2 linked regions of the Alligator mississippiensis genome follow. The protein of the gene in region 2 purifies or fractionates together with the protein of the main gene of each other region. This does not show direct contact. Links are inferred from orthologs where the notes say so. Each region holds a gene or a part of one and is shown on either strand. Other genes may lie near its edges. The genes, in order: S100A10 and PLA2G4A.

What was found.
Region 1: the proteins of PLA2G4A (region 2) and S100A10 purify together in Homo sapiens (affinity purification with western blotting; 3 studies listed by BioGRID). This does not show direct contact. The link is inferred for Alligator mississippiensis from reciprocal best matches to the Homo sapiens genes PLA2G4A and S100A10.

Annotation. Positions count from the first base shown.
Region 1 is NC_081838.1:19,410,533-19,426,536, reverse strand, and holds the start of S100A10 (protein S100-A10), read right to left. Parts: upstream 6,141-16,004; 5' UTR 6,042-6,140; intron 5,514-6,041; exon of another isoform or gene 5,406-5,513; intron 1-5,405. UniProt on the Homo sapiens protein: Because S100A10 induces the dimerization of ANXA2/p36, it may function as a regulator of protein phosphorylation in that the ANXA2 monomer is the preferred target (in vitro) of tyrosine-specific kinase.
Region 2 is NC_081828.1:56,657,132-56,673,481, forward strand, and holds the start of PLA2G4A (cytosolic phospholipase A2), read left to right. Parts: upstream 1-10,454; 5' UTR 10,455-10,559; intron 10,560-16,350. UniProt on the Homo sapiens protein: Has primarily calcium-dependent phospholipase and lysophospholipase activities, with a major role in membrane lipid remodeling and biosynthesis of lipid mediators of the inflammatory response.

The sequences.
Region 1 (16,004 bases), on a different chromosome or scaffold from region 2:
CTTTGCATCTACCCTGGTCCTCCTTGCTGCAGAGAAAGCCAAAGCTTTCTTGTCCTAAGGGGACGTGGAGAATGCTGGATCACCATCCTCCATCTAAAACCCCAGTACTGGGGCCCCAGGGGCACTCTGAACAAAAAGGGGGTTGTTGTAAGCCAACGGAAAAGAGAACCGATCTCTTCTTTCATGCCTAAATGCTGGAGCAAATAATGCGTCTCCTTGTCACATCTGTCCAGGATTCCTGACACGACGGCATTTGGGAGGGGGTTTTGGGGCAGGGGAAAGCCCTGATCACTCCTGAGGAACCGGTCACAGCCGAGTGACAGCAGCGTGTGGGTTGGTCTCTGAGTCAGCAGGGCTCAGAGCTAGCACAGAGGAGGAATTGCACCCCGCCACTCCCAGATGCTTCTGGTTAGAGGCACTGATTGTTGCCCAAAACAGCAGCGTGGTGTAAACCCTCTGCGAGCCCCATTCAGAGGCGAACGTCATATAACATGGTGAGCAGAGACACGCCTAACGGTCCCACCCAAGCACGGCGCAGCCAGGAATCCACCCGGGTGTGCAAATGTCTGACACACTTGATGGGCCCAAAGCAGCCCCCAAGCGGGGAATTCTGGCCTGCATGTGCATCACCAACAAAAAGACCGTATTTACCCACATACCACATGCATCTTCCTCCCCAGATTCATAGGAAGTGAGGGTTGGAAGGGACCTCAGGAGGTCATCTAGTCACCCTCCCAATCCCCCCCATTCCAAATTTGGGGTGGGTGTCTTTGGGAGGGAAGCTGATTTTTTGCCCAGCAGCATTTCTATTCAGGCAGCAATGAGGGAGTCAGTTGACTTCATGGCTCATTTGAATCTATTGGATCACACTAAAATGCAGCCACCTCTAGGGTGGAACAGGGCAGCTGTTTATTAGCTTGTGGCAACACACTAGCAAGACGTTAGAGAGCAGCCTTTCTTGCATGGACCTAACTTCTGTGTCTGGCAGCAGTTTGAGACAAGAAGTTGATGACAGCTGCTGTCGTGGGGAGATATTTGCCACGAACTCTGCTTGGCACTGGGGAGGTCTCACTCTGCTTTGCGATAGCTTGGCCCAGCCCAGCTACAGCTCTCCCTGGTCTCCAGCCCGGTTGCTGAGGGAAACGGCCCCCATTGCCCTGCCCTCTGCACTGAGACAGAAGGGACAATGGGACGCAGCCGGGCGGGGGGCAGAAAACCCAGCAGAAAGGGGAAGAAGCAGGGCAGTTTGCTTCTCCACTCTGCACCTGTGATCAGGGGCCTGCGACTGCTTGCAAAAATCCCATCTCCTGCCCCTGCATGCACTGCAGCTGAAAATGAGGTGCCCGCAGCAGGCTCTCTAGGCAAATGGCTGGCAAAGTTGTGGATGTCTCTCTCCCCAGCACGCGCCCTTCAGCCCCGGAGCCACCTCGTTGGGGGTGGAACAGGTCCCTGCCGGGCTCCACTTGCTAGGGCGCAGGGATGTTTTACAACACCAGGCCTTCATTGCAGCAATTATCTCCCGTGCATACATGCATGCGTGCCTTGAGGGGGGTTGTTCCTTTATGAAAGCATGGATCACTTGAGAGATAAGAGTGGGCAGGTAGCCAGCAGGTTACCGGGATGCCCAGATCCTCCTTGTTTTCCTGGCTCTGGGTGCTCAAGACCTACCGAATGTCAGCCTGTGGCTCCCTGCTGCTGAGAGCAGGCTATGTGAAACGAGCTGGCTGGGTCTCAGCCCCCTTCAGAATCGGGGTCTTTTTTCCCCCTTGCACAACTGCTTTCACTGGGGAGGGGGGAACTGCAGCCCCAGTCAGCAGACTGCTTCCTGCTAAAATACCATATTTATCTGGTACATATGAGGGTCCACCGACCAAGCTCTCATTCCTTCAGGACTTTGCTGAAGACCTTGCCATTTGGCGACTACTAGTCTTCACAGCCCTGCCGAGTGCTTTCAGCTCTTTCAAAATCCTAGATCTATCCCCAGAGTCCAGTCTTCAGCAGCTAGCGTTCCAGCTTTTGGCTGAGCAGCCAAGAGCTGCTGCCAGTATGGCTGTGAAAGGGTTAGAGTTGGACTTCTCCACGAGTCTAGGATTGCCCCTCGTCTCAAAGCTGAGGGTTGAGAGAAGTCCTGAGATGTGGCCGCTGTCTCTTGCATCGAGGGGGCATCCTCTGGGGTGTGGAGTAGGGCGGGCATGCGGGAGCTCACTAGGGAGAAGGTGCTGCCAGCACCGTGGAAGTTAAAATGCTCGTGTGAGGGCTGAGCTGCCAGCTCCCTCTCTGGGGAGCCAGGGACTCGGTCCAAGGCCTCCGCCCCCCTTGGCAGAGTCAGCGCCTGATGGGAAACAGATGGGCAACCCTGTCTGCAGATGCTCTGCCGACCGCGGGCAGCTGGCGGGGCCCAAGGGCATGTACGGCGTGCCCCGCCCTGGCGTGCGGCCCCGGGGGACAGCAGGGCGGGGTGTGGCGAGTGGGGAAAGCCCGCGGCGGCCAAGTGTCAGAGGCTGGACAGGCTCGGGCCAGGCGCTGACCCCAGCTGCTCTGATGCTAGTGAAGACAGGGATTAAACAGCGACAGTCCCCAAGCACACAGCTCCTCCCCGTACCTCGCCCGCCCCCGGCCGGACGCTAACTGGTTCCAGTTGTGCGGCCCGGAGCGGTGCCATCTTTGGAGGACCCAAGAGTCTAAAAATCTGGATCCCAAGCACCCCGGGGCCGGGGCGGGCTTCCGGCCTCTCCGATGTCACAGCAGGACAAACAGGCTGGGAGGCAGTCAGCGCACGGGGCGCGGACCGCGTCGTTCGCTCTGTCCGTGCCTCGCTTGTTTGCATGTCGGTCGGCCGCGTGCCCGAATATCGACGTGGGTTGGGCTCAGCTCCGAGCAGAGACAGGCCCATTCCTGGGGGTGAGGGCACTAAACCATCTTGGATCCAGTCAGCCATCTTGGGCCAGTCAGGGGCCGCCATCTTAGATCCAGTCAGCCATCTTGGGCCAGTCAGGGGCCGCCATCTTGGGCCCAGTCAGCCATCTTGGGCCAGTCAGGGGCCGCCATCTTGGGCCAGTCAGGGGCCGCCATCTTGGGCCTAGTCAGCCATCTTGGGCCAGTCAAGGGGGTGCCATCTTGGGCCTAGTCAGCCATCTTGGGCCAGTCAGGGGGTGCCATCTTGGATCCAGTCAGCCATCTTGGGCCAGTCAAGGGCCTCCATCTTGGCCCCAGTCAGCCATCTGAGACCTAGTGGGTCCAGTCAGCCCTCTTGGATCCAGTCAAAGGCTGTCACCTTGGATCCAATCAGCCATCTTAGACCAAGTCAGGGACTACCATACTGGGCCCAGTCACAGGTTGTCACCTTGGACCTCATTAGCCCAGTCAGAGATTACCACGCACCAGCCATCTTAGATGTGGTCAGACGCTGCCATCTTGGGCATATCCTCTCCGCCTCCAGCCATTGCCATTCCTTTGCAAAGGCGGATGCGAGCCCACGTGGCCCTTCACGCCGCACTCCCCAGAGGACTGGCTTCTTTCCAGGGCTGGCTCCAGCATGGCGCCCCTCCGTTGCTCTGGCCCGTGCCATCCAACTGCCCTTCCCTCCCGGAGTCTCCTCCATGGTTCGTGTGAAGGACCGGGGCTGAGCGCATGGCATCTGACCGCGCCCAAGATGGCAGCCCTCGGCCATATCCAAGCTCCCTCCTCCCCCGTCCCAGACGCCCGCCCCACCCACGACCACCCGTTCAGCCTTCTGCCGGGGTGCCGCGGGGACCCCACGCCCCGGACGTCTCGGGCCCCGCGGCCTCTCAGCCGGGCGGGATCGTTGCACACGCTCCAGGTCGGGTGGGCTGGGCAGCGCGTCCGGCTGCAAACCCCTGCCCGCCCCGACTCTGCCCGTGCCAGCCTCACCAGCCAAAGGCAAACCCCGGGACGCCACCCCTGGGGGCAGCCTGCTCCCTCTCTCCCCATGGGGCCACCCCGATGTGTCGCCTGGGGCTGCCCGCTTCTCTCTGGCCCCCTAAGAGCATTAAACACAGCGTACAGCTCCGGGCGCGGCTGGGCACCGCCAGAGACCCCATCCTCCGTAGCTGGGGGACCCTCCGGCTTGTTTGCTGACATGGGCGCTATGGGGAGAGCAAACAGGGCTGGGCTGCTCCTGGCTGGGCTCCCCGGTCGCCCCCGCCAGCGTGAGCGAGGATTTTCCAGCCGGGGCCTGGGAGGGATGAGTCAGCTACGCCAGAAGCGTCTCCTGGACCGGGTGGAGGAGGGGAGCTTTCTCCCTGACACTCACTGCCAGGGCATGGGGGGCACCGGCCAGCCTGGGAGGGGAAATGGAGACCCCTTCCCTACCTAGGCACTTGCAAATGTGTACCTCCTCCCCCACAATGTCCTCTGTGGGATTCGAACCCTGGGCACTTGCAGCAGCACGGATCTCTGCCCCCTTCAGCTGAAGGCACAGCTCCCCCTGCAGACGGCGGTCGCAGGCACTTACCCCGCAGCACCCCGGCCAGCGGGGAGGAAGGGCAACCACCAGGATTAGGTGCAAGTCGCTAAGAAGCTCCATGCCTCAGTTTCCCCATCTGCCACGAGCATAAATGTGGTAAAGATCGTGTGGTTCTCACAGGACCGGAGGGGAGGGGTAGATAAAAGCCCGTGGGAGAAAGGGGCACATTACTAGGGGACGGTTTCTCTGGATTGCCACAGGTCTGCTCCGTGCAAGATGCTGCACAAACCCAGAGCCATCCACTGTTGTGGCGGTAGGGCACGCCAGAGGCCGGGAGCCCCCCAAAAGGACGTATCAGAGGATATTAGTCTGCATGGTTAGCCTGGGCAGCGGATGGCAGAGCTAGGGAAGGAACCCAGGAGTCCTGGCCCAGCGATGGAAACTCTCGTGCACCCACAATCGATACAGAAAAAACAGAGGAGCAAAGCAGCTGCTGGGAACAGAGGCGGCCGCACCCGGGCATGGATGGAGAGAGGCCATCTCTGCAGCACCAATCGGGCCCGGATGTCGCCCACGGCCCAACTCCTTGCAGAGCTTCTCGGTGCCTCGTGGGCTGGTGCGGTGCCCTACGCCATGCCGGCTCCAACGCAGGCTCCGATCATCCCCAACTCCGGGCACCGGGGCTCTGAGCGGACACGGGATCCCGCCAAGCCCAGGCTGCAGCCACTGAGAGGACTCATGGCAGCTACAGCAGGGGGCCAGGATGCCTGGGTCCCATTCCCTCAGGAGGAGCAGGGCGAGAGAGAGCTCCCTGGGGTGGGAGCCACAGATTGTGGCAGCTGCGCTTCTATTTATATCCATGCCTCAGTTTCCCCGTGATATATAAGGGCCTGCTCTGGGGATCAAGCCCAGCCAAGCTGCCCCCAAGGGGGGCGTTATCCCAGCTCCCGGCACGGCGCTCCAGCAACCTAGTTCTTACCCAGTCCCTGGGTCAGGGATCAGCTCGACAGGCAGAGATCAGGGCAGTGGCCCTGCCACCAATGCCGCAGCAGTCTCAGACCAGCGGCGAACCAGCCCGGGCAACGCCCTTGCTCAGAGCCCACCACCAGCTGCTCCTGGCACCCACAGCGGCTGGGCTACCCGCTCCAGGAGCAAACAAATCACAGGGCAGGGCGGTGCCCGGAGCACCCTGGCAGCCTGCAGCTCCCGCACGCGCATGGCAGAGCCCGGGGTGCCACGCCCCAGCACGGCACTGCCCCGGCCCACGCCGCAGGCCACGACCTGCTGGGGCAGGGGAAGCCCCCGCGGGCGCAGAGGGGGGGCATCACTATGCCCTGCAGCTAATAGGTGGCAGTGCCCCCCCCAGTTCACAAATGCAGCAGCTGCCCCACGCCCCGCTAGGAAGTGCTTCCAGCTCCCCAAGTCTGAGCCAGGAGCGCGGCAGGTCGGTGCCCCCGTGCGGGGAGTAGCACGGGGCAGTGCCCCCATCTCCGACCTCGGGGCAGCCCCCTGCGCTGGGTGGCATTAACCCCTGTCATGCCGGGCACTGGGGCTAGTGTTAACCCCCTCCACGCCGGGCATTGCCCCCTCCCCAGCGAGCCCCGCAGGGACTCACCGGGCGGGCGGGCGGGCGAGCGGAGCGGAGCGGTGCGGGTCTGTCGGGTCGGAGCGAGCGGCGCTGGCGAGTGCGGGCGGGCGGCGGCGGGGCCGGGGGCGGCTCTACCCGGGCGGGGCGGGGCGGGGCGGGATCAAACCCCGCCCGGATCGGGATCGGGGCCACCCCCGGCCCCGGCCCGGGGATCGCGCCCTGCGCAGGCTGCGCTGATTTTTAGGCGCGCTGACAAGGGCTCAGGCAGCGGGGCCAAAGCAAGGAGGCACGGGCCTCTTCGCGCCCCCACGGCTCTCTCATCCCTGCCAGCCCGGTACGGGGAGACACGGACGGAGCAGCGCGCTTCCCGCGAGCGCACACCTGCCCTGTTTGCACACACACAATCTGCCGCGATGGGCAGCTGCGCACGTGATTCCGCCCTGGCCTTTTCTTGCTCGGGAGCCTTCCCGCGCCGCTGGCGCCCGCACCGGCTGGCCGGAGCCCAGGGCCGGCACAAGGGAGCAACCCCCGGGTCCCCGGCGGGGCGGACAGAGAACAGACCCTTTCTGTGCGGTCTCTGCCCATGCCGCCCTGGGCTGCATGATGCTGCTTGCTGCGGGAGCCTGCATTTCAGCCTCCTTTGAACCCCGGCCGAGCTGGCGCTGTGACTTGCCTCTGCCGTCAGCAGCAACCTCTGGCCCCTCTGGAGAAAAGAAGGGAACTATTGAGGCTGGAAAGGCCTCGGGGCTGGCTGCTGACCCCAGCATGCCACATCCAGCCCCCGGGCTGTTCCCACAGGGCTCTGGCGAGCTGCCTGCATCCAAGGGCTTGTAGGCATGAAGGCATTTGGAAATCCCGCAGGGCTGACGGGAAGGGCGCTTGGGAAGCTGTTCCCAGCTGGCTCTGCCCAGGGTGTAGCAGGAGCAGCTCGGACATCAGGCCCCTGCCCCAGCACCTGGCCTGGCTGGGTCCCGAGCCCCAGGGGTGAAGGATCCCAAGCAGCCTGCAGTAACTGGCTCCAGATAGGGGTCCTTCTCTTGGCTGCCATAAGGGGCTACATCCATTCACTTTCCTCTGCGACTGTGGGAGCCAGGAAGTTTCTTCTGTAAAGCTGCAACAGCTGAGATCTTCCCCTGATCATGGGACTCCAGGAGCTGCAGCTTTGGGGGACAAATGTGGAAAGCTTCCCCCAGACCAGGCCATACCACACTCGCTGCCAGTTCCTCTGTGCTGCACAGGTCTGTGGTAAGAGGAAAGGGCAGTGCTGGGACATGGGTCTGGCCTGCTCGGAGAGCCAGGAGCAGAGCCTGTTTGTCCAGGCCCATCAGCCCCTGATGCAGTGTGCTCTGGGGGTGGGACTTTGACTGTCTGTCCATCCCTCCCTCCCTCCCTCCCTCCCCATATAGCCTCTCTCTCTGTATATCCATCCCCATATATCCTATGAATCTATCTACCCATCCCCATACATCTCATCTATCTATTCCCATATAGCCCATCACTCTTTCTGTTCATCCCCACATAACTCCTCTATGTATCTACACATCCATCCATCCCCACACTTTCTTTCTCTCCCCACACACCCTCTCTATCTAGCTATCCATCCATCCCCATATGTTTCATCCATCTATTTCCACATATCCCATCCCTCTATCCATCCTACCCAGCCCCCCACATACTCCCTCTGTCTGTCTGTCCATCCATCCCCACATACCTCTCTGTCTGTCTGCCTGCCTGTGTCTCCCCATGCACCCTCTCCCTCTATTCATGTTCAAACCCAGCACACCTCAGGGTGCTGCACCAAGACATCAGCCCCTACAGTAGGTACTGGGGTATGAGAGAGGCTGGGCTCTGCCCCACGCACATCCAAACCTGCTCATTGCTATTACTGGCTTCAGCTACTTTCAGCCACTCCAGTGGCTTTCCTGGCCTGCTGGCTCGGCTCAGCGCAGGCACAGTCCTTCCCCCCTGCCCCCAGCTGCTGACCCAGGCACCTGCCTTGGCATGGAGAGGCAGTGCCTGCCAATGTGGGGTCCCCCCAGGTCTGCAGCCTTCATGCCCTTTGCTGGACTCTGTTCCTGGCTCCCTCTACAGCTCATCCTTCTGGGCCAAGCCTAGCTGGGGAGGGCTAGGGGGGGACCAAGGGAGTCATCCTCTCCAGCAGCCTCTCCCCAAACCACCCTCCCACTGACCTCAGCAGGACCTTGGGACAGCTGGATGCATCATGGGCCTCCTACCAGCTCCTAATTAGATAACAAGGCTCATTAGGGCAATTAGCTGTGGGTGCCCTGGAGCATCTGTGGTTGCCCTTGCAGGGAATCTAGTGCCAAGCCTGACGCAGCTGCAGGGGTGATATTAGCTGTGCTAATTTCATGCATAATTAAAAGATGGAAGGAGCGAGCCTGAGATTCCCTGGTTCCATCCCAGGATGTGGGGACCTGGAGCAAGCCATTCATGGGCGAGTGAGGCAGACCCCGGTGTCCCAGGGCTTCTGTGATGTTGCGGGGGCTGGAAGCATGGTGGCACCTACAGCCCTGAGGAGCCCCAATGTGCTTAGTGCTGCACACACACAATGTTGGGGGTAGTCCATGCAACTGGGGGTCACAGCCTAGCCCCTGTGAGCCTGGGGCTGCTGGATCCTTGCTCTCAGGGGACCGGGGTCCTAGCCCTGGCTGCACCATGAATTCAGGAGCCGGCCTGGGGTACAGCCCTTCCCTGCCTGAGTTTCCCCATCTTGAAGCCAGGCCTGCACTGGTTTGAAGTGGGGAGCCCTGCCTAAGAGCTAGCAGGGGGGCTCGCACTGTCTCCTGGCACCACCTGCTGTTCATCTCTGGAAGGACAATTGGATCCTGCCACCACCCCACCCAGCCACCCCCATCGCCACTGCAGGGCCTGCCCCTCCGGCCCTGTGGATACCCCTGGGCAGTGCAGGTAGTGGGGCAAGAGGTGGGTGCAGGGGTAACAGCAATGAGTCAGGATGGAGCAGCAGGAAGGCTGAGTGGGCAGGAGTGAGGGGCACCAGCAGAGCTGGGAGTGAGCAAGGGGCTGCTAAGGGGGGTTGGGTTAGTGACTGCTCTGAGCACCTCACTGCTGTATCAAGCAGTGACTCATGGTCCCTTCTCAGGCACGCACATGTATTTGCATGTGTGTGTGAGATGGCACACAGGCTTACCCTGCACACAGGCCCTAACCGGATTTCCAGGCCAGCTCAGCCCCTGCTGCTCCCCAGACAAGGGAGACCAAAGGGGCTAGACCCTGACTCAGGACCCAGCCAGCAGCAGCTCCCAGCGGGGGGTGTGTGTGTGTGTTGGGGGGGCATGTATCTCACTGCCAGACACCTGGTCTCAGGGCAGCGAAGGCACTGGGGCAGGGCAGGTCTCAAGCCTTGCATCCAGGAGAGACTGCTGTCATCTGGGCCCTGGGCAACAGGAGCAGGGAACAGAAGGGGCCAGGACATCAGTGTGAGCTGGATGAGATCATGGCCACCGTCACAGGCTCTGCCCAGTACACGCCTGGTTTGATCGATCAGCAGCCAGAGCTGTGTCAGGCCTGTGGGAGCCAGCGATGAGCAGACAGAAATGGGGGAAGAATTTGAGACCCAAGGAAAGCATTTTGCTTGGGTTTGCAGTTTATTTCTCATATATTTATGGCCACAAGCACCATGTCCCTAGCAACATGCTGGGTTCTCCCTTGGGGGCAGGTCTGGCTAGCCCCAGAGTTATCCCACAGTCCTCGGGTGCTCCGGATGGATGCAGAAGTCAGGACTGGGCCTGTGTTGTGCCCATGTGGGGCCATGTCCACGAGTCACGTCTATAGGTGGTTGGGGTGCTGGCCCCTGCCCCAGCTCGTGCACCACAGGGTGCAGCCACCCTGGGCAGCCACTGGATGGCAGCACACACATCCCCCTGTCCCCTGGGCTAGGGGTAAGCGGGGGAGCCCTGGGGGTGCCCAGCAGGTAGGAGTTGTGCCCTACTGTGCCCCCTCACGCTCCACTCCCCTGGCACTGGGGGCAGGTGGGTGTCGTGGCAGGCAGGCGTGGGCATCTCCCCCTACTTGGTACTGGAAAGGGGGGAGAGGTGGGGGCACTGCGGGCTGAACCTGTGAGCGATCCCAGGACTCTGGGCCCTCATCCCCTGGCAGTTTCTTAGCCTGGAGACCCTGGGCTGGGCAGCCCCTAGCCAGCACTGCCAAGAGCCAGGGTCCACCCATGCCCCCGTTTTAATGGCCAGCCCTGGCTGCACACAGCAATGCATCTCTCTGGCATCTCCCAGTGAAATCAGCAGCTGGGACAAGTGCCCCTGCACCCAGGGATCACTGATAGTGCCCAGCTGTTGCACGTCTGCCCAGTAAGGGTGGCAACGAGCCCCCCTGGCAGCTGGTGCCCGGGTCCCGGCGGGGCGGATACACTTGCAGGGGAATGTGGGCAGAGGTATCCCCATGGTTCCTCTTCTCTGCAGGGTGCCTTGGCTGCCTCCCGGCGATGACATGTGTGGCAATGAGGGCCGTGAGCAGGCATGCCAGCATCCCCAGCAGGATGAGTCCCTTGGCTTGGCAGTAGGAGAGCGACGTGGCCTGAATCGGGGCTGGGAGGGTGCCTGGAGAAACACATAGGATGGGGGTCAGGGCATGAGGGTGAAGAAGGTCAGTGCCTTGAGAGCACTGAGCCCGCATGCCAAGCACAACTATAGGGACCAAAGCTGCCCTCCTCCCTCAGCCCTTACATCCTCCTCCTTCCCCAAATGTACCATTTGAGCTTCCGCCCTGCCCAGGCTCTGGGGCACAGGGAGAAGGGGTCAGAGGGACAAGAAGGCTCCTGGAGGGTCCCGTGTCCGTGCCCTGGTCCTCATGGATCACATGCAGCTGAAAGCGCCACGTGGTGGGGACGAAGCTGCCGACCTCAAGGGATGTGGCGGTGTAGAGCCCTGTGTCGCTGGTCTTCAGGCTGCTAAGGATCACTGCCCCACTCCCATCGGCACAGCTCAGGCGCCCAGCATAGCATGGAGCCACCGTATACAACAGGAAGGTCTCCTCCAGTGTCACATTGGCCAGGGAGACACACTGGTCCCCCACCCACCACATGACCGCGTTGCCTCGTCTCTCCATGGGGATGTCGAGGGGGAAGAGGACTGATTCCCCCACAATCCCTGTCAGCTCCATGAGGGCATCACTCACTGCCGAGGCTCCTGCAGGAGAAAAGTGGGGGAAAGGGGTCTTCAGGGGCAGACAGGACATCCCAAGAAAGCTGCTCCCCACTTCTCAGGGGGGTTCAGTCCTTCACAACAGGAGCCCCATTTTCCATACACCTCCCCCCCAGAGCCCAGGGGCTGCTGGTCAGGGGCTCCACTTTGGACCCACCTCTGATGTGGTCAGTGCAATGACAAGGCCTCTTGGCCCTCACAATTTCCCCCTACCATCAAGGGGCCCAATGACTCTTTGTCCCATTGCGGCAGCGGTGGAGGTGGCACAGGCACCATGGAGGTGGCACAGGCAGCTCTGGGGCCCATGCCAGGTCCAGCCTTGCCTTGAAGTAAATTCAAGCTGCTTCAGAGCTTTCTGCCATGGCAGCGCTGAGCTCCTCTGCCCTGTGGATACAGAGAACAATCTCCATCCTCTTTAGGGCTGCCTTGTTTGTATACGACTGGTCTGCCGTGGTCCAGGAGACCCCTTATAGGAGCTCTGTTTTGACCAGAGGACAAATCTCCAAACTGTGGGCTCCACTGAGGTCTCATGCTGGTCTCTGATGGTTAGAGGGTTGTAGGCATCATGGCTGGGGGCAGTAACCCTGCTGCCCCTGGGCCTTCTGGAGAGCCCTACAAAAGTCTCCATTAGACCTGCTGGATCCTGAGCCTCAGTAGCTTCCCCCATCCAACCACGCATCAGGTGGAAACTCTCTCAGATACTGGCTTGAATAGTCCCCTCTCCACCTCCAGCCATATTGCCTTGGTTTTTCAAGCATGAGACCCCAAAATAAAGATCACTGGGAAGCTCCGTGATGGGCTACTCAGCACCTGGAAGCACTGGGATGAAGGGCCCTCTCCTCCAGCCCCTACCCCAGGCAGGGACATCCCAGTCTGTAGCACCCAGAGGGGTGTTTGCCCTAGGGCAGAGATCTCACCCTCTCTCCAGGGGCTGATTTCTAACCCAAACTTCATGCCCACCCTCCATCTTCCCCGGTGCCATTTCAGCACCCTGGCCTCTGCAGACATAGCAAATAATCCCCGTCCTCTTTATGGCTGTATCCACAAATCCACAAATGCCAACTCATCTCGACCCTATCTGCCAGTCCCTATCGGCCATGCTATCTAGCTCTAACCATTGGGAGTGATGGCCACTTACCTCCAGGCAGCAAAAGCAGGAGGAGGGAGAGGAGGGAAGGAAGAGCAACCCGCTTCATTCTGGCAGCACTGGACTGAGTCTGGTGGAGAAGTGCCTGGGGTTATAAGGGAACCTGGCCTGTCATCAACTCTGCAAATTCCCCTGGCTGATGTGACTCAGATGATGAGCTAACATGGCCAAAACGTGTCCTTGTGCATGGCAGAAGTGCCACGGGCTTCACAGCAGTGAGAGGGGCCAAGCTAGACCTGGGGGTGGGCAGCAGCAGAGCTGGGGGTACTGGCCCCATCACCAGACCCACCCTGAGAGCACTGTGCCAGGGCAGCACAGGGGAGGGCAGCAGCTAGCCAGGGGAGCCCTGTGCTGGCCCAGAGCTGTATGTCCATGAGCAGTGAATCACTGCAACTTCCCTCTGTCACCACCATCAGCAGGGTCCAGTGGCAGGGTGAGATCAATGCCAGGAGATGAAGTAGCATCTGACAGCCCCTGCCCCCTCCCTCCACTCCTCAGTATTTCACCATCCACTAAAATGCAGCTGTCTCTGGAGTGGAACAGTTGCTCAATAGATTAAGGGATGGGCGGCTGAAGGGACCCCAGGGAAACCACAAGGGAATTGACCTAATCATCTTACAAGGTCAGTGTCTGAGCTTTGCAGAGCAGAGCAGAGCCCCAGCTACACCCCAGGGGCAGCAAGAGACTTAAGAAGATTGATCTCTAGCTTAATAGGGGTCTGTCCTGGATCTGGGGCATTTTAACTTGGCAATTTGTGACAGGGAGTGGAGGGCTTCCTGGACAAGCCTGCAGGGAGGAATGGCAAAGGGGCTGGGAGGCAGGAGCAGAACGCAGAAGAGTCTGGATGGATCGGAGACCTGCCTGGAGCGCACAGGGAGATGGGTCAACGCAAAGTGCTATGCCCAGGGGAAAAATCCCCTACTGAGAAGCATCTCACTCAGCCATTGGTGCTGTCCCAAAAGCAACTAAGCTAATTTGGGACAGGGATATTGTGTGTTAGATGCAGGAGGTGATAGTACCACTGTGCTTGGCGCTGGCAAGGTCTCAGCTAGGGTATGGCATGCAGCTCTGGGCTTCATGTTTGGAGGACTATGGAGGAGCTATAGGACGCTATGGAAGAGCATGGGATCCCATGATCTAGAGGGATCCTATGCAAACCCAGGGAAGAGCGTTCTGTGCACAGTCCGGTACTGGTGAGGCCTCTGCTGAAGGACTGCTCCCATTGGGGCACTGCCCTTCAAAAAAAGATGCAGAGAAATTGGAGAGCAAAGCAATCTGAGGCCAGGAGACAAGAACCACTCAGTAATAGCTCCTGAGACCAGCTTTCTAGTGGGGAAAAGATCAGACGGGTTTCTGAGTACTAAATGCCCTGCCGCACATCTGAGAAGAAGGCAGATACAGCAGATATAGCTCCATACGGGTTAGAATAGTGGTTCTCCACCTTTTCATCCTCATTTCGGAAAGTGCCAGCTCTTTGCTTTCTACTCATTTCTTGGCTGCGGAAAAATACTAGGGCATTTCTTCTGGGGCAAAGAACCCAACCCGCCCACAGCGAGACACTGTAGCGCTGTGGGTTCCCATTGGAAATCTCTGGGTTTCTCTTGTGAATTGTGTGCAGATCCATTGAAGGATGCAAAAGGGTTAATAGGTTTGTCTGGGATGGTTTGGACAGGGCTGATCCTGACTCAGGCCAGGGGTTGGACTAGGTATGATCTCTGGAGGTCCCTTCCAGCCCCTCTTTTCTGTGATTCTGTGAAATAATAAGACCATTCAAAAGGACTGAGAGGTTGGCAGAAGGGATGGGTAAGCGATACTGATGTTCTGCTGGAGATGGGGTGTGCCTGTCCTCTTTTATTTCCCCAGGAGCTCACTCAGGATGGTCCTGGGTGTTGTGCTGCACCCACATCGTTCCCATGGCACACACAATGCGTCGGGTGGGGTACATCCCATTCAACTGTCAACTTTGTTGATACAGTCTTCATGGCTGGAGATGACTCAGGACAGATCACCAAGGCAAACACCCAGTTCTCCGATGCTGACTGCTACAAGGCACCGAAGGAGGATGCTGACGACTGGTGTGTCGGCATCCTCGAGTTTCTCAGGAAATCTCCAAAACGACCATTTCAGGAGCATTTTGCAAGCTCCTCCTGGGACACATTGCACAAATCAACTGCGGTATTCACACCCAGAACAATTTGACCTTCAACCAACAGCTCTTCCTCCAAACCATGGGCACTGCCCTGGGCATAGCTGGCCTCTCAATAGGCCATTTTCACTGTACGTAGGAGATGTCTTCATCCTTCAGATCTAACCCCTGGGTTTGGGCTCTATCTCTACCATGGCTTCAGCAGCTACCCCGTCCATCTAGCTGTTCCATGGAATAGTCTTATACTTCCTTCAACTCTCTAAATCCCATGATCCACTTCTCACATGACACCCTACAATTAGCTGTACCTAACAGCCTCAGGGATCGCCACACTTAGAATCACACAATCCTACAAAATGAGGGCTGGAAGGGACCTCAGGAAGTCACATTGGACACTTGTACACGTTATGCATTGTGTAGATCTAGTCCAACCCCCTGCTCAAAGCAGGGCCAGCCCCAACGACATCATTCCAGCCAGGGCTTTGTCTACCCAGGTCTTAAAAAGCTCCAAGGATGGGGACTCCACTGCCAGTTCCAGTGCTTTACTACCCTCCTCCACTTCCCTCCATGAAACCAGGAACCACCCCGAACACGCCAAGAAAGCTATAATCTGCAGCCAGTCCCTGAGATACCCCCATATCTGCTCTGAGAACACTGATGATGTCCCCTTCAACCATTGAAAACTGTCACTGCTGGCAGACAATGCACCCCAAAAACAGACCATAACTTCAGAAGAGTCACCCAAATAACCTACAGAAACCTACTACAATGTAAAAAGGAGCTCCCCCCACATTGCATCCCCCATGAGAAACAAGAAGATTTCATAGTTTCATAGATGTTAGCATCGGAAGGGACCTACTAGATCATCGAGTCTGACCCCCCGTCCTGGGCAGGAATGAGTGCTGTGGTCAGATGACCCCAGCCAGGTGTCTGTCCAACCTCCTTTTAAACCCCTCCAAGGAAGGGGACAGCACCACCTCCCTTCGAAGTGTATTCCATATTTTGGCAACCCTCACTGAAAATTTTTTTTCCTGATGTCCAGTCTGAATTTGCTCTTCCAGTTTGTGGCCGTTATTTCTAGTTACCCCGACAGGTGCCCTGGTAAACATCGTATCCCCTATTTCCTGCTGTCCCCCCTGATGAGTTTGTAGGCGGCCACAAGATCACCTCTCAGCCGCCTCTTGTGGAGGCTGAAGAGGTTCAGGTCTCCCAATCGGTCCACGTAGGGTTTTTTCTGTAGGCCTTTAACCAGATGAATGGCCCTCCTCTGAACCCTCTCCAGGCCACCCACATCCCTCCCAAAATGTGGCATCCAAAACTGGACACAGTACTCCAGCTGCAGCCTAACCAATGCCACATAGAGGGGAAGTATCACCTCCCTGGGCCTGTTTGAGATGCACCTACTTATGCAAGAAAGGGTGCGGTTAGGTTTACTTATTACCTCATCACACCAGTGACTCATATTCATTTTGGAGTCGACTACAACTCTGAGATCCCTTTCC
Region 2 (16,350 bases):
GTCGGAGACAGAACAATCTCCAGGAGGAATTCCAGGGGAAGAATCTGTAAGTCATACAAATGTCTGATGAGTGAAAAAAACAATAAACTAGTGAGGTTGCTAGGCTCGTTGCTGTCATGATTTCCAGCACTTGAATGTACTTAATTATAAGCATTAAAAAAAAAGTTTAAATGTTATTAAAGTGATTAGAATTATTAATTAAAATGTATAGGCCTGAGTTGTATGTTTTGTTACTCCTCTGCTTCTCGTATTGTACAGTATCTGTAGGAGCACATAGCATATATTGAACAAGGATTCAAAATTAACCCAGCAAGAAGAGAGGTGAATGCAAATGACAATATATAGATCTGTATTTAAACAAAGCAAAACAGAACACCTAAACCTCGGGTCCTTTTCAAAACAGATGATTTTATGGTCTCAACACAGATGAGTATAAGACAATGTATCAGTGTGAGGAAATGAAGGAAAAGCAGAAGGCTTAAGTAGTCTTACATTTTTTTCCCCCATTTGTAATCATATGCAATGGCCAAAATATTTTCTTGTGATTCACTGTGTTCCATACTCTTTTGAAACATCAGCATTTGGAAAATGAAGCAACTATCATTTTCCTGGCTATTTCAGTTTTGTGACTAGTGGTTTGGGCATCAGACTGTGGGAGTCAGAGGACCTGGCTTTTATCCTTAGGTCTGCCACTAAACAGCTATGACATTAATAAAGACATGAAAAATGTATCTTAACCCTCCTATCCTTTGCTTGTTTTATTTATTGACATTATAAATTATTGCGGGGGGGAGGGCTGCCGCTCATTCTGTGTTTCTTAAAGCACCAATCACAACACCTCTGGGTGTTACTGTAATTTGAACGACAGCAACAGAAATGATTCTCTGTTAATTGAAACAATACAAAATGCAACTCCAAGGAAAATATGTTGCACTACTATGAATAATAAGAATGATATTACTAAGTCTAGTATTTTATTTTATTATTGACTTTAAATATTATTACATTCTTAAACTATCTTGACATTAAACTAGTAATATTGAAATATTATTATCAACATTATTAATATTATTAAATATAAGAGGTTTTGCAAAAAGGACAAAATCCATCACCATAGAATCACAGAATTTTCAGGACATTGATTTACTCTGCTTCAAAAATGAATAGCATGGGGTCAGAAGGTAACCTTTTGAATCAATTGTGGGAGTAATTTAGTAGTAGCAGATCAATGGTTTGCTTTGCAAATACTGAGAAGTCTGAATATTCAAGTTCATATCTTGAGTGGCCTTAGCTATTAAGATAGATGACATATATTATTAAAACATTTAGAAGTGAGGTAACAAGAACATTTTTTAAAATTCATATATTTTTTTGTTGGGCATCCTCTCACTATATGAGAGAGAGACTTCAGAACTGCTAGGTCACCTTTCCTTCTGAGTCTTGTGAACCTGAAGGAAATAAAGTTAATGTCAGTAGCTTTCAGTGGCAGATTTTTATCCTTCATAAAACAGCATCCACATTTAATTTGATTTACTGGAGTGTTTATTGGCCCATAAAAAACATGTATGTGGCCTGCAAAACTATTTCATAATAGGATCATACTAAAGTAGGGCTGGAAGGGATTGCATAAGGTCCTCTAGTCCAGCCTTGGCTCATGGCAGGATCATCCCTGAATAAATCACCCTGGTCAAATGTCTGTCTGTCTGTCTGTCTGTCTGTCTGTCCTGAAAAATTCCAGGGATGGAGATTTCACAGTTTCTCAGGGTAGCCTGTTCTAATGCTTGGCTATTAGTCAGAAAGTTTTTAACTCCTAACCTTAGAGCACTTATATATGAGCGTGGAATTCCAGCATGTTGGACCAGACTTGATTAATTGATTCTGCTGAAGCATGGCATCTTGTGTATCAGCATCCCAATGCTTAAAAATGGCAGCGAGGGGCACTTAAAACTAAAGCTCATCAAACAAGCTTTAGTTCAAGTGTCCCTGCTGCCATTTTTAAGTATGGGGATGCTGGTACATGAGATGTGGTGGCACTTTAATTAGAGTGACTCTCAGAGCCATTTTAATTAAAGTGCCAGCACCCCCCTTCCACCCCAGAGCATGTGTAAAAGTGCCCTAAATTTCCTCTGCTGAAGTTTTAGGCCATTGCTCCTCAGTTTTGTCCCCTACAGCTACAGAGAACAGTCTATCTCCATTGTCTTTATAATTGTCCTGCAAGTTTGATCTTTGATCTGCCTCTTACTTATGATATATTTGTAGAATCCCTTTTTATTGATTTATATATCCCTTGCCAGTTGCATCTCAAATCATGTCTTGAGCATCCTGATTTTTCTTGCTACATGTTTATGCGATACTCTCATACTCCTACCTAATAATATGAACATGTTTCCACTTTTTGTAGGGTTAGTAAGGATAATTTGTTTCTGTGCTAGCTTTTTCCCTGAGGTTTTTTTTTTTTTTTGAAGTCCAATGCTGCTTTCCTTCCTTCCTCCCTCCATCCCTTCCTCCAGATCTTGAACTCTATCATTTCATGATCATTGTTGGCCAAGTTACATTCCACCCTCACATTCTCAACCAATTCCTTCTGTTTGTGAGCAGCGAGTCAAGAAGATCTTCTACCATTCATACCAAAAAGTGGTCCCTGACACATTCCAAGAATTTGCTCAGCTGCCTGTGCACAGCTGGTGCTTCCTTTCCAGTAGATGATATGATCATCAAAATCCCCCACGAGAACCAGGTCTTTTAATTTAGAAACTTTTGCTAGCTGTTTAAATAAGGTCTCATCCACCTTTTTCCTCATGTTTCGTGGCTTATAACAGATGTACAGTGGGACATCTCCCCTGCTGTTCCCCCTATGATCTTTAAGCAGAAACTTTCAACTGGCCTATCTCTCACGTAGTACTACACCCCAAAACATGCATACATCTTCTTCAACATCTCCTCTTCTTTTTCTCCATCTGTCCTTTCTGGACAAGTTATACCCATCCAGTCCAGTATTGTCCAGTTTGTCCATTATTGGAAAAACACCTGGCTGGGGTCATCTGACCCCAGTACTCTTTCCTGCCCAGGGCAGGGGGTCGGACTCAATGATCTAATAGGTCCCTTCCGACCCTAAAATCTATTAAATCTATGAAATTCATGACATCGCTCCAGTCATTTAAATTATCCCACCAAGTCTCTGTAATCCCAATCCCAGTGAATAAGGTATACTTTAGATCAGGACACCATTTTCAGTGTCAAACTATAGCCTGTGGGTCAGATCCAATGACCCACAAGCAGCATGTGGGGAGTGCTGGATGATCACACATGCTGCATATGTTGCCGCTCTGCTGGCTCGGTATTGCAGTACTTCCAGGCTCAGTGCTTGTTCCCTCCTGGGAGAACAGCTGTTTGTCTTGTTAAAAGGTCCCAAAAACCAGAAAAGGTTTCTATCACCATGTTTGCTCAATGTGGACTATGTGTTTTATAGTCATTCTCAGTATTGGCTGCATTTAATCAATTTCATAGTTGGTTTTTATTACTAAGTAAGTATTGATTTTGGCAGCACTTTAATGATGGATAGTGTAAACAATGAGGTTTCTTTGCATGTGAATGTAAGATGAGGGACTTTTTTTTCTTCCAGGATGATGGGAAAATTATCTCATTTTGTATTTGAGTAAATATAGAAGATATAGCTTTTCTTCCAACAGAAACCTTTTGTTCTGGGATCTTAGTGCACTGTTCCACTTCAGGAACCTAGGATGTATACAACATAAAATGAGTTAAAACTTTTTCCAGGGACAATGCTGTGTACCTCTGTAAATTAATAGTGGCTAATTCAACTTAACTGGCAGCCATTCCAGGGAGAAACCTGTCTGCTGTATACTCTCCTTGGCCACTGAGCAGCAATACAGCTTGAAAGATCTTCTTATAAAGCATTTCCATTTTTAATATGTATGTGCCTATGCAAAAACTCACAATTTTTTAACAATCTAAAAACCAGAGAATTCTTTTAAAGTGAGTATTTAAATGCTGTCTTGAAACATAATTCATATCCATTAAGAGGTGATGCTTTAAAAAGCAATTTAAAACCAAGCTATGGGCATTTATACACATACTTTTTTCCCCTGTGATACGCCAAAGATCCACCACTTCAGAGCAGACTGATTAACTGAGTCTGCTCTGCATGGGAGCTTAGGTGAACTGCACTGTGCCGTGTTTATGTACAGTTGTATAAGTGATGAAATGCATGTTAGTGCACAGAAAATGGCGGCAGTGCGCTTTTGAAATGAAGGACCTTGAGGTGTTTTAGTTCAAAAACGCACCGCCACCATGACATGACTTTGCTACTTATATAACTACAAGCACCTCAGTGTTGGGCCCTTTACAAAGGGCCCAGTGCTGTGGCACTTACATGTGTAAAAATGCCCTGAATGCCAAAGAGTGTGTGGGCACTGCTTTGAAAAAGAGAATGAAATTCACTGCATTGAGTCGATCAATGCAGTGAAAAGACTTCATCCACTAAAAACTCATTCTAACTGAAATGCATCCAAGCAGGGGGAAAAATATGCAAATTTGTTACTCTTTAACTCTAGTAGCAGTTTTGAAGGAGTTAAGTGGAGTATGCAGAAAACCAGTGACCTGTGATGTAAATAAAAAGATGTCAAGAGAATATTTATTGTTCAATACTTTTCCAAAGGGCAAACAAAGTTGTTTACATATAGATTGTGTACCATATCTAACAGAAAAATCTTCAGAAAATTTTTTATCAAACTGAGCTCTTTCAGTCAAAATATCATAGGCACAGATTCTTTAAAATTTGCCAAATAATATTGTAAGATCCTTGAAAAGAAAGCATACTTTATCTTCTTCACTGTAATCTTCTGTAGCATTAGTACTCATCCTTTTTGGCCAGTGAGCTGGATGGCCAGTGCCCAGTCCCTCTGTGGGCTGGATCTGGATGGTGGACTTAATCCAGTTCTTGGGGTGGGTGCTACGGCCCCATTCTTACAGCATGGAGGAGAGTGGGGCACAGCTTGATCCTGATTCAACCATATGGAGGAAAGGGACTTGTCCTGGCCTCATGGTGGGGAAAAGGGAGAATGACCCTGCTCCAAACCAGCCTGGCAGGGGAGAGGGCATGGCTGGGCCGCAATGGGCAGAAGGGAGGGGGCGTAGCTGTGCAGGGGGAGGGGCATGGCCCCGCTCCAACCTGGCCAGGCAGAGGGAAGAAGACATGGCCTGTGGTGGTGGGAAGAAGGGTGTATGGCCCACACCCTAACTAGCTGCACAGAGGTAGAGGGCATGGGGTAGAGGTTCAGCTCTTCAGGGAGAAGGAGGCACAGCCTGGCCTCAAATCAACCTCATGGAGGGAAGTGGGCTTAGCTTGGACCAGATATGGCCTTGCAAGGGGAGGGGGTATGGCGCACTCTGACCTGCGACTTGAGGTTTTGGTAGCAGGGAATGGTGTCAGTATTAACTGCCACTGCTCCCTGCCACCATATTTACCGATGCATGGGGAGTCTCATGGGTCAGATTCCAAGGCTCCATACGCTGTATTTGGCTCATGGACTGGAGGTTGAGCACCCTAGTTATATTATGTGAGCTGAACCCTAAATATTTTGCACATGCCCCCCTCCCTGCTCCCCTGCTCAACTGAGGTGGCACCAGTTGCCTGTGGCAGGGAGCTTCAAGCCCCCTGCTTCAAGATGGTGATCAGGGAGCAGGGGCTGGGAGATCCTTATCCTTCCCAGCTTGTTCCCTGATAAGGATCTCCACTGTCATGACTGGGGAGCGGAGAGCTGGGAGACCCTTATCTCCCAGTGCCAGCTCCATGACTCTGGAGCCAATGCTGAGAGACCCTTATCTCCCAGCACCAGCCCCACAGTTGTGAAGCTGGTGCAGGTTGATAAGGGTCTCCCAGTACCAACCCTGTGGTCATGGAGCTGGTGCTGGGAGCTTCTTGCTGGCAGGGTCTGGGGACCCTGTTTCCCATCCAGCTTGGTGAGTGCAGAGCTGGGTGGGGAACAAACTGGGTAGGGCCTATTCATGGTCCTGGCCCCATTGCAGGCAATGGTCACATGGAGCCAAGGCAAGTAGCAGGTCAGGGGGATGGCTGGCAGGAGCTTTGGGGCAGGAGCCCCTGGCTGATGGAGCCACCACTGCACTTCAGCCCAGGCACCACTGTCCCTGCTGCTGGGTGGTGGGTGGCTGCCAGAGGGCAGGTGAGGCTAGGGCCAGAGGCAGGGCAGTGGGTCACATTAAGGTGGGTGGCACTGCTTGCCCTGGTGTCAGTGGGTGGCACAAAGGTGACAGCCAGGGCCAGAACAGTGTCCAGTACCCAGCAGAAGTGCTGCCAGTGCTTCTCCTGGTGCCTCCACATTCTTGGGGTGGGGAACGGGACCAGCCAATGCCCCCACTCCCCAGCTGGTGAGGGCCAGTCTCGGGGGGGGGGGGGAGACATGCCCCATGCCCCCCTATGCATCACCTATAACGTTCTCCATGTGCCAGGCTGCATGCACAGGTGCACAGACCTAGTAAGTCGGCTTCACAGGCCCTGGCACAGGTGGCCATCAGCCAAGCTCCCTGCCCCTACTGCTCTGCAGGGACAGGTGGGCCTTTGGGTGCTGGCTGTAGGCAGGCTGTCTTCCCTGCCCAATTTCCAAGCCAGAACAGGCCAAGCTTCTGGCAGCACCTGCTACCATGGTTCCACAGCCACTCTCCCACCCTTCTCCTGCAGGCCAGCCTCTCTCTGGTGCTGCAGCTCTTGTGTTTGGAGGGTGAGGGCTCCTGATTGACTGGGCCATGGAGTTGCTGGAACCCTCACCCTCCCCTCTCTGGAGAGGCCTCCTGGGGCCAGACCCCCCTGTACTGGCTCTGTGCCCTGAGTGTACCTCTGCTGAGAGTGTCCCAAGCATGTCACAAGGAGCTGTTTGCACTGACCAAGGGGTGCCTGACCCACGATACCCTGGTGCTGCTGATTGCCATGGTGTTCCAGGTATACCTGAGAACCTGGCATAGGACCCTGAGCTCTTATGGTACAGAAGGCAAGCCTGTGCTGCCCCACAACCTCTGCTGCCAATTGGAGGGATATCTGTGGCTGCACTACATGCCCTTGCTCCCCACAGCTGAGGATGAAATTGCTGCTGGTCTTGACTCATTCCTCCACATGAGAGGCCCATGCCTGCCTAGCTGAGGGGGCACAGGCTGCTCAATAAAGTTTTGCACTGTCTCCCACCTCCCTGTGTGCCGTGGGGAGGGACACACAGGGCCAGAGGAGTGTGTCTAGGCTGGGCAGGAAGGGGGCCCAGGGGCAGAGACAAGGGTGAGGGCAGGGTTGGGGAGGGTGGGGCTTACTAGGTGGGTGTGGCAGGCATGCCTGGCAGCCCAACTTGGTGTCTGCTAGCAGCAAGGATGTGCAGCTCCTGGCAGTGTCCTGGGGTGCAGGGGCACAGTGCCTAGCTGCCTAGGCAGAGGCCTCCTCCAGGGAGGAGCTGGAGCTGCTGAGGGCCAGCAGTGCCATGGCCAGCCTGGCCTCCTTGGTGGAGCTGCACACCCAGGACTGGCGGGGCAGGCACTGGCCTGCGCTCCCAGAGCTGCTGGATGAGGCATGGGATTGGGGAGCATGGAGGGACCAGCTCCTGGTGGCTTGAGGGGCCATACCCCAGTGATGCATAGCAAATTTGTTCCCGGTCAGGATCTGCATGTTTGTTACTGAGCAGTTACTACTTGGGAGTTCATTTGCTATTTGTCCCCTCTGTGTGGCATTGGTCAGGCTGTAGCTGGAGTACTGCATCCAGTTTTGGGTGCTGCACTTCAGGAGGGATGTAGATAACTTGGAAAGGGTTCAGAGGAGGGCCACCCGCTTGGTCAAAGGCCTACAGGAAAAACTCTACAAGGACCAATTAAGGGACCTGAATCTCTTCAGCCTCCACAAGAGACAGCTGAGAGGTGATCTTGTGGCCATCTACAAACTCAACCGGAGGGGACACCAGGAAATAGGGGATACGATGTTTACCAGTGCACCCATCAAAGTAACTAGAAACAATGGTCACAAACTGAAGAAAAGCAAATTTAGATTGAACATCAGGAAAAAATTCTTTATAGTGAGGTTTGCCAAAATATGGAATATGCTTCCAAGGGAGGTGGTGCTGTATCCTTCCTTGGAGGTATTTAAGAGGAGATTGGACAAACACCTGGCTGGGGTCATCTGACCCCAGCACTCTTTCCTGCCCCTGGCAGGAGGGGTCAGACTCGATGATCTAATAGGTCCCTTCCAACCCTAAAATCTATTAAATCTCTGAAACTCCTAAGTAGAGCAATTTACTGAGCAGTAAGCATCTGCAGATGTGGATGGTGGTGCTTACTGCTCAGTAATTTGCTGTACTGTGCAGCAAAGGATCTTGTGTAGGTGCACCTGAGGAATTTTTCAACGCATGAAAAATGCTTTTCATTGTCCTTATACAAGAGCTTCCCCCCATTATAAAGAAAAACTTTAAAAATGCCACAGTAGAAAGGAATCTTAAGACCATCTTTATATTTTCATAGATGAACAATAGAGGGCGCAATAGAAAGCAAACAAAACAAATAAATAAATAAAATAAACCCTAATGTTTTCCTATGCAGATTTCATTTAAAAATAGAACTGCCTTCTCTTCCCCCCCAAAGGCACAACTTTGAATGGAACTGTAAGTTATATAATTTAGACAGTAGGAGCTAGTGCAGTTGAATGATGATTGGGTATGTAACAACCTGCTAATTTTCCATAGGTTGGGACAAGGGTTGTTAAGGGGATGATTTGGAGGGTGACACTAGGAAGCTTACAGAAAGCTCCATTTGCTTGGGCAATTTTGCAGTACCTCTGAGGCCATGACATACCTTCTGGTTGCAAGCAGGTACGGTGCACTTAAAAATAGAAGGTCCTGCCCAAATGGAGTCCCTTTATTATTGCACAGAGCTCTGTGCACGCAACAACGCGTGGGTGCTGTGGTTTATATAATAAGATCTTACTGTAAACTATATATGCAAATCCTAAGCACGTACCTAACAATGGGAGGTTGAATGGGTTCAGAAGTCATGATATTCATATGTAAATTAGGGTAGGTGCTTTGTATTTGCTTGAAAACTTGAGCTTTAATAAGCAGAACTGCATTTTTAAAGTAATATTTCATGAAATATTTCAAAATATTTTAATGTAATATTTTAAAAACAGGCTTTGCTCTCTGCAGACTAAGTCTCCCAGGGCGGGTCTACACATTTATTAATGCACTTTAGGTAATGCATGTTAAATCTAATACCTCCATTGTGAGGTACTAGAAAAAATGTGCATTAGTCTATTTTAATGCTTAGCTAAAGAGTATGGTTTTTTGTCCTGTTTTAATGTGCATTAAAATAGGCTAATGTGCATTAAAATACACATGTAGATGTGCTCCCAAAGTCTCACATTTATTTCTCTCTCTAATTTGGCCACATGGAAAAGATATGCATACATTTCATTTTATAGTAAATGGAATAATAACATATGTCTGTCAAGTGAATGCGGATGATGAATCCAAGAGTTGTCTTTTTAATTGCAGTCATATTACAATAGCTTTTATATCCCGCTACAGAATTACATAGGTCAGAGGAGGGATTTTTTAAAATTTCATTAATCTTAGCAAAAGTATTTTTCTCTGACAAACTCCTAGGGGCAACAGGGTTGACTAAAAATATTATTTATATGGAGTTTTTGTTTTAGTCCTTAAGGTCTGTAGAGGACTTATTTTAATGGGGATGGGCCATGAACAGTAACCGTATTGTGATTAGGAATGTTCAGACATTATTGCTTATAAATTTTTCTTCTTAAGAGGTGGGGCAATATCAACACACTTCATTTAGAAAACACATTTTAAAAACCATCTTAAACATCCCTTCTTTCTATTCTGAAAGACTTCTCTTCCTGTGTTTGAGCTTCATTTATATACACACAATATATACTGTATGTATATGCATACACACACACACACTATGGCTGTGTCTATGCAAGACACTGTGCAGTAACTTGTTATTACTACGCAATAGCATCACAGGGCGCAAACAGTGATGCAACACTACTGCACAGTAAATGTCACCAGGCAACCATGACGTGACGCAACTGTGCAGTAACACCAGTTACTGGGCAGTCATTTAATACTTGGTTATGCAAATACTAAATGACTGTGCAGTAATAGCTGCGCAGTCAGCGTCTCATGATGCTGCGCCCTATACGTATGTAATTACAATACAAAAATAGGTAGGCCTGTTAATTACCAGGAAACTAAAGCCTTATTATTTACTGTTAGTATTTTTCCTGGTTGCTGAGATGTAGCTCTGAATTTTCACTTTAAACAGCTTTTCCTAGAACAAAGTTTCAAACCGTCCTATTCCAATTCAGCTAAACAGCACTAGGGGCTAATGCTACCACTTTAAGAGACAGCTATATCAGCTGACACTTAACTCCACCCATTCATGAAAGTCGAGCAATGGGGAAAAAAAAAAAAGATCCTGCTTAGAAAGCAAGAGGGATGCACAAGCCCAGAAGAATCTAATTTAGCACTGAAACTGTAAGCAATATAACTTGGACTTTGCTATTTTCTAACAGAGGCTGGTTTTAGCACTTAAAAAGTAAACTGGAAGCGGGGAGTGTGGGGGAAAGAGCTAGGACAGATCATTCTGTATTGTACTAAGGTAACGTTTGCTTACTCTGTTACTTGAAATAAGGAAGAGGAACAAGCTATCTTCTTTTTCTTGCTGCTAAAAAAAGACTTGTGCTGCTGCATTAAATAGAACTGAAATCCAGAAAGGAGTCTGCCAGATTGGGACCATGTGGGAAAAGTTTGAATCCTTCAGGTGATACTTTAATATGCCTTCACGTGATCATGCCCTGAGCCCTCTGGCTAGTAGGAGGGGAACTCTTGTCTGGGGTTTTTTCCCCTGCATTTTTGTGGCGGGATGGTTCTGCTTTTTCTTTCTTTGGAAATCATTGCTAGGGACCAACTCCCTAGCCATGGCAGACAAGAGGCTTAAGTCGCAGCTGTGCTGTAGTTACCTCTAACTGTTCCCCTGTGACTGTTACCCCTGTGCTGTTTACCACTGAATGTGTTTTGAGCCAGTAGGAACATTTTTAATGTGCCTAACTCTGGTAAGAAGAGGGATGGGGATCTCATAATTATTTGTAAAAGTGGATTTACTTCTGGTAATCACATCTCATCCTAAGTAAGTACGTATTATCCGAGTCACATACATACTGGACTGCCAAAGTGGTTGGGGAAACGGTGAAAACTGAGCTTTTTGGTCATGGGAAAGGTATCACAAGAATCAAACCAAATTAGGATGATGTGGAAACACTGGGAACTGTTCCTGATTGCCAAACATTTAGGAACAGTCTTTTTGTTCCTACATTTTATCTTCCATTTTTATTTTGTTTGCTGTGTTTTCTGTTCTGCACTGTTCATGTGTAACCAGGACAAGCTGCATGCCAAATTTAGGTCTTCTGCCTCTAGATAAAGCAACCTGTGACCCACAAAATGTATTATAAACAATAGGCTATTTTGACAGCCTGAGGTAATGGACTTTTTAATCACTTACCCAACTATTAATAAAATACTTAAAAGCATTTTAATTACAAAAGCAGACATCAGCGCTTAAGTAAAACAGTACGTTTGAACACGGTGAAGGAATCATGGGTTAATAGTTTTGGAACAATGTTTAGTCTTCTGTATGTTATCTGATAATATGTCCTGAAGGAGAAAGTGCTTGTGTGATGCATTTAACAAAAATGGCCTAAGTAGGCAACATTCCTAACAGTAAATCATAACAGAGAGGTATAAGAGTGTTAAATAAACTTTTGTCCATTATGAAATCTCATTCCTGGGGAAAAATCAACTTGCCTGTCTGTGTTGGGTACAGCCACTAGTGTCTGCTCCCTCAAAGGTTATTGTTAATTCCATTTCTAAGTGGCTTGCTTGTGCTTAGTAATTGTTTAAACTATCATTTATGAAGCAATCTATTGTGAAATGTATAGAAAAGTAAGATGTTAAAACTATTGAGCAACATACCTTCTGTAGTGGAAGTCTTTTGCCTCTGTGAAAGTGTCTACTCATTTAGTCACTGGTGATTTATGCTGGTCATCTAATAGTAAGTGCAGATTAGAATTGAGGTCAGAAAATTTTACGTAACAGTTTTTCACTCTGTTTTCTGTTGCTTGTGTGCTTGTATTGGTGATATATTACCTTTTCCAGGCTTCCTAGGACTGTTGGAAGTTGTTTTATTTGAAAAGTTTTAGACAAGTCATTTTGACTGTTTGAGCTCTGAAATGTGAATCCTTCTTCCTCACAGGCTTTTTGTGTGTGACAGCATAAAAAATTAGTGGAGTCTGAAAGTGGGTCTGGGCATAATTCAGTTCCAGATTATGACATGCTGAGACCTTAAACTATGTCCAGTTTAAGAGGCCCCATACGATAAAAATAAGCCACGAAATCCACGAAAATGGATTTTCATTAAATTTTAAGATGCATTATTGTTATTTTAGTACACATTTATGAACTCAATATGAATAACTGTGGAGCCATATCTGTGTATACTAGCCAATTGCCCATCATAAATGATGGATTTCACAGAAGTGTTTACATGGCCGGCCCTGAAGGGTGGCCCTGCCCCTGCCCATTCTGTAGCCCCTCACCGGCAAGCCACAGCCCCTCAACCCTGCTGGTGCCCCTCACTCCCAACCCACAGCCCCTTGGCACTGCCCGTACCCTGCATTCCCAACTCGCAGTCCCCCACCCCTGTGCCCCTCACTCCTGACCTGCAGCCCCTGAGCCCTGCCGGAGGGCCCCAGTTGTGCCTGCCTTACCCAGGCCAAAGTGTGGTGGCTCCAATTACTGTAGGTGGTGGCGGAGTGTGTCTGGCCCTGGCACGGGCTGAGAGAAGAGGAGGAGAGGCTTGTGGTACCCCTGCCCTTGGATAGGGCTGCAGTGCCCTGTGGGCAGCCTGGCCAGGGACCCTCTCTCCTTTCCCCCCCACTCCCCAGGCAGCGGCTGCTCAGCCCCTCGGAGCACAGGCACTGGCACCTATGCTGCCCCCGCTGTTCCCCTGCCCCTTTCCCCCACTGGAGAACAGGCAACCCTCCCCGCTTGCCCTGTCACAGCTGCAGCCCCCGCTCCCCCTGCCTGGACCAAATGTCCAGGATTTTGCTGTGCTCCAGGGGTAGGAGGGAGGAGGCGATCAGAGGCAGCAGGGCGCTCATGCAAATTTTTTTTTTCTGTCTCTGTGGAGGTGGGGTGAGGGGAGCACACACATCGGAGGCTGCAGGACAAGGTGGCACTGGCGGTAGAGCTCCCATTTTAATTCAGCTGGCCCTGCCTGGCCTGCATAGCCAATTGGCGCATACACAATTGGGCAAAAGTATTATGGACGGACAGACAGACAGCCTAAGGCTTTTACTATATGAGAATTTTTGTCATATTAGAATGAAAATGTCCAGTTTTTTTTCTTATTTAGAGACCACTTATATTGCAAGGCCCTAAGGATGTAACTTAAGTAGCTTAAGCCTAAATCTGGCACTGGCATAGTTTTTAGTAGAGAATAAGCTGGTTCAGACAAAACTGTAACACCTGAAATTTCAGGGAATATGTTATAGGGAAAGAGTGTCTGTCATACTGAAAGTTAATGGTTAATTAGGTGCTTGACAGTGTCTTTGAAATCTCCCTGATAAATTGTCTTTCATGTGGTATGGCAGAGCTATCTTTTTCTGCATGCTTGAAAGACCTTCCTTTTTATTCCCATCCTTCTTTCTTTAAGAGTTCCATTTAGTACTAACAATTTTCCATAGTAAAATTCAACCTGAACTTCCCTATTTTAGCTGAAAATACTGGCTCCTCTATACCTATTCTTCCAACTGCAGTGTCATTTTAGCTTTTTTACCAGGCATTCAACAGATGTTTGAACAGAGAAATGCAGTTAGGTTTTTTGTGGGTTTTTTTTTTAAATAACTTGCCTTTTGACTGACTGATATAATATTACATTGACAGCATCATGGTTTGCTTTTAACATCATATATATGTAATATTTCTATATTTTAGCATATTGTATCTTCAGTGTACATCAGCAAAAGTCAATTAGTTATGCATAATTGACTTCTTTGATGTGCGATGAAGATGCAACATTTTAAAATATAGGAGGTCAAATGCAAAAATTCCCTATGCTATTCCTATATTAAAGTTGTTATATAGTTAAACAACCCAATGTTAGTATTAAATGTTGTTCTCTTGGACATATGCCTGTACATACAAGCCCTGATTGTCAGCTGTATCTTCCGAAAACTGAACTCAACAGGAAAAGAGCAACACCATGGCATGTTCTACATTATGGTGGCTTGGAACAATCGCCTTCCTGGTCACCAGCTCAAAAATAGCTGGATTGTGAAGAGTCATCTGTTTCTACTCAGACCATACTTCTTTCTGCATATACATACTCTCAATAAGGGATTGTTTTGGGGGTGAAATAGGGCCCTACTACTGGCCTAAACTTCCTGGGGAACCCTTTATTCCCATAGTATTCCTTATGGGCCTAGGAGGAGGCTTTGTGGGTCTTTCTGGAGAGCATCGCCTTCTCTCTGCATGGTATCCCCAGAAGCACCAAAGAGTTGAAAGTCCAGTTGCAATGTAATAACAGCTTTCCAGCTGCACATAACCAGGTGGGTAGTTTCATGGCCAGTCAGGAATAAACTTGAATTGACTTCACAGTTTTTCCAATTTTGAGATGCGTGTGCAAATTGGAAAAGGATGGGGACAGATGGTTCGAGTGGTTGCAGTTCCTGTTGTCTTTGAAAATGTTTGAGAGTCCAAGTTAAATTCAATAGATAGTTGTGGCTGGGGAAAGAGGAAATGGGGACATCCCTCTTCTATCCAATAGCTCAGAGGTAAAAGAATTGATTTACGATTTGGAAGTTCATTTTTATCTTTTACACCAGGGGATTTGAACCTGTATATCTCACCTGCAAGGAGTATGCCCTAGCCATTGCATTCTAGGGAATTTGGGGCAAGGAGGCAGATCTCAGTCTCTCTTGTTCACTTATTCTTGCTTTATATGGAATGAATATGCATTCACTAGAATAGGGGCTGGAATCCAGGCGTTTCATCTTTTAGGTGAGTGCTCTACCCTTCAGGCCAGAGACCCTTCTCTTTTTCTGATTGTTTATTTTATACCAAGTAAAATAGCCAAAAAGGAGAAATTAAGTGAGATAGATCTCCAGCATCCTGTGGGTTGGGACACCGACTTTTGCATAAGGCAGCATAACCCACCTTCAAAGGAGGAGATGAACTCTACCTATTATGTATTTTCTGTCTCTTATTAATACAGTCTTACTATTTTTTACCAGCCCAGAAGACAAATTCCAAAACCTAGCTCAGTAACTGGAATGAGTTCACCATTGCCCAAGGTTATAATAATTTGCTGTGGTAACAGAGTGGTTTCAGTAAAACACTCATATATTCAGGGCAGTGGTATTCAAATTTTCCTGAAGGCTTGCATTTGCTATTTATCTCAGAGGAAGGATATGAATTTCCTGGCTGTACCAATCTCCAGTAATCTGTTGCAGTCTTGGAAATCAGTGACAGAAATAAAAAGGAGTGAAGCAGTTGCAACCTTTATCTCCCCGCCCCCCCCTCCCCCCCCCCCAACAATACTGTTCGGAGTAACACCATTTTTGCAGATTTTTGCAGTGATGGGGAGAAGAGTAATATTGATACACTTCTTTGTTCTACATTGTGACTTAGTGTCCTGCAGCACAGTACAGAATTTAACAATTTATTATTTGCTCCCCTATAATTAGGCAGGGCAGGATCCAATATTTTAATCAATAAATACTGATAAACATTGATTATAGCTGTATCTCACAGACCTTGAAATGAATAGATAAGGGACTTAAAAAAACCCAAACACCTGGGTTGGGGATGAGGAAATCTGGAGCTGGAGGTACTGCACACGTGCACACATGTGTGCACATGGTGCTCCCTGCAGGCAGGGTTGGGAGAGCCCTGACAGTGGCTCAGTCAGATGCTGAAGAAGCTGGGGCTGTACTGATAGGGTTATGTTGGGATGGAGAGATGGAGGGGCAGGGCTCTTGGCAGCCGAGAACCTGGTGCTGACAGCTGCTTGCGCAGCTCAGGTCCCAGCTGGGGACTGGGCACCAAACTCCTGGTAAGCCTGGGCTAGCCCATGCACGATCAGGGTTCACCAGGAATTTGGCCCCTGGCCTGATCATGCAGGGGCCAGGCTGGGCAGGAGCTCTGGGAACGTGGGGAGAGGCAGCGGTTGCTCATCCCAGGGAAGGAAGTGGCCAGAAACTGGTTTATA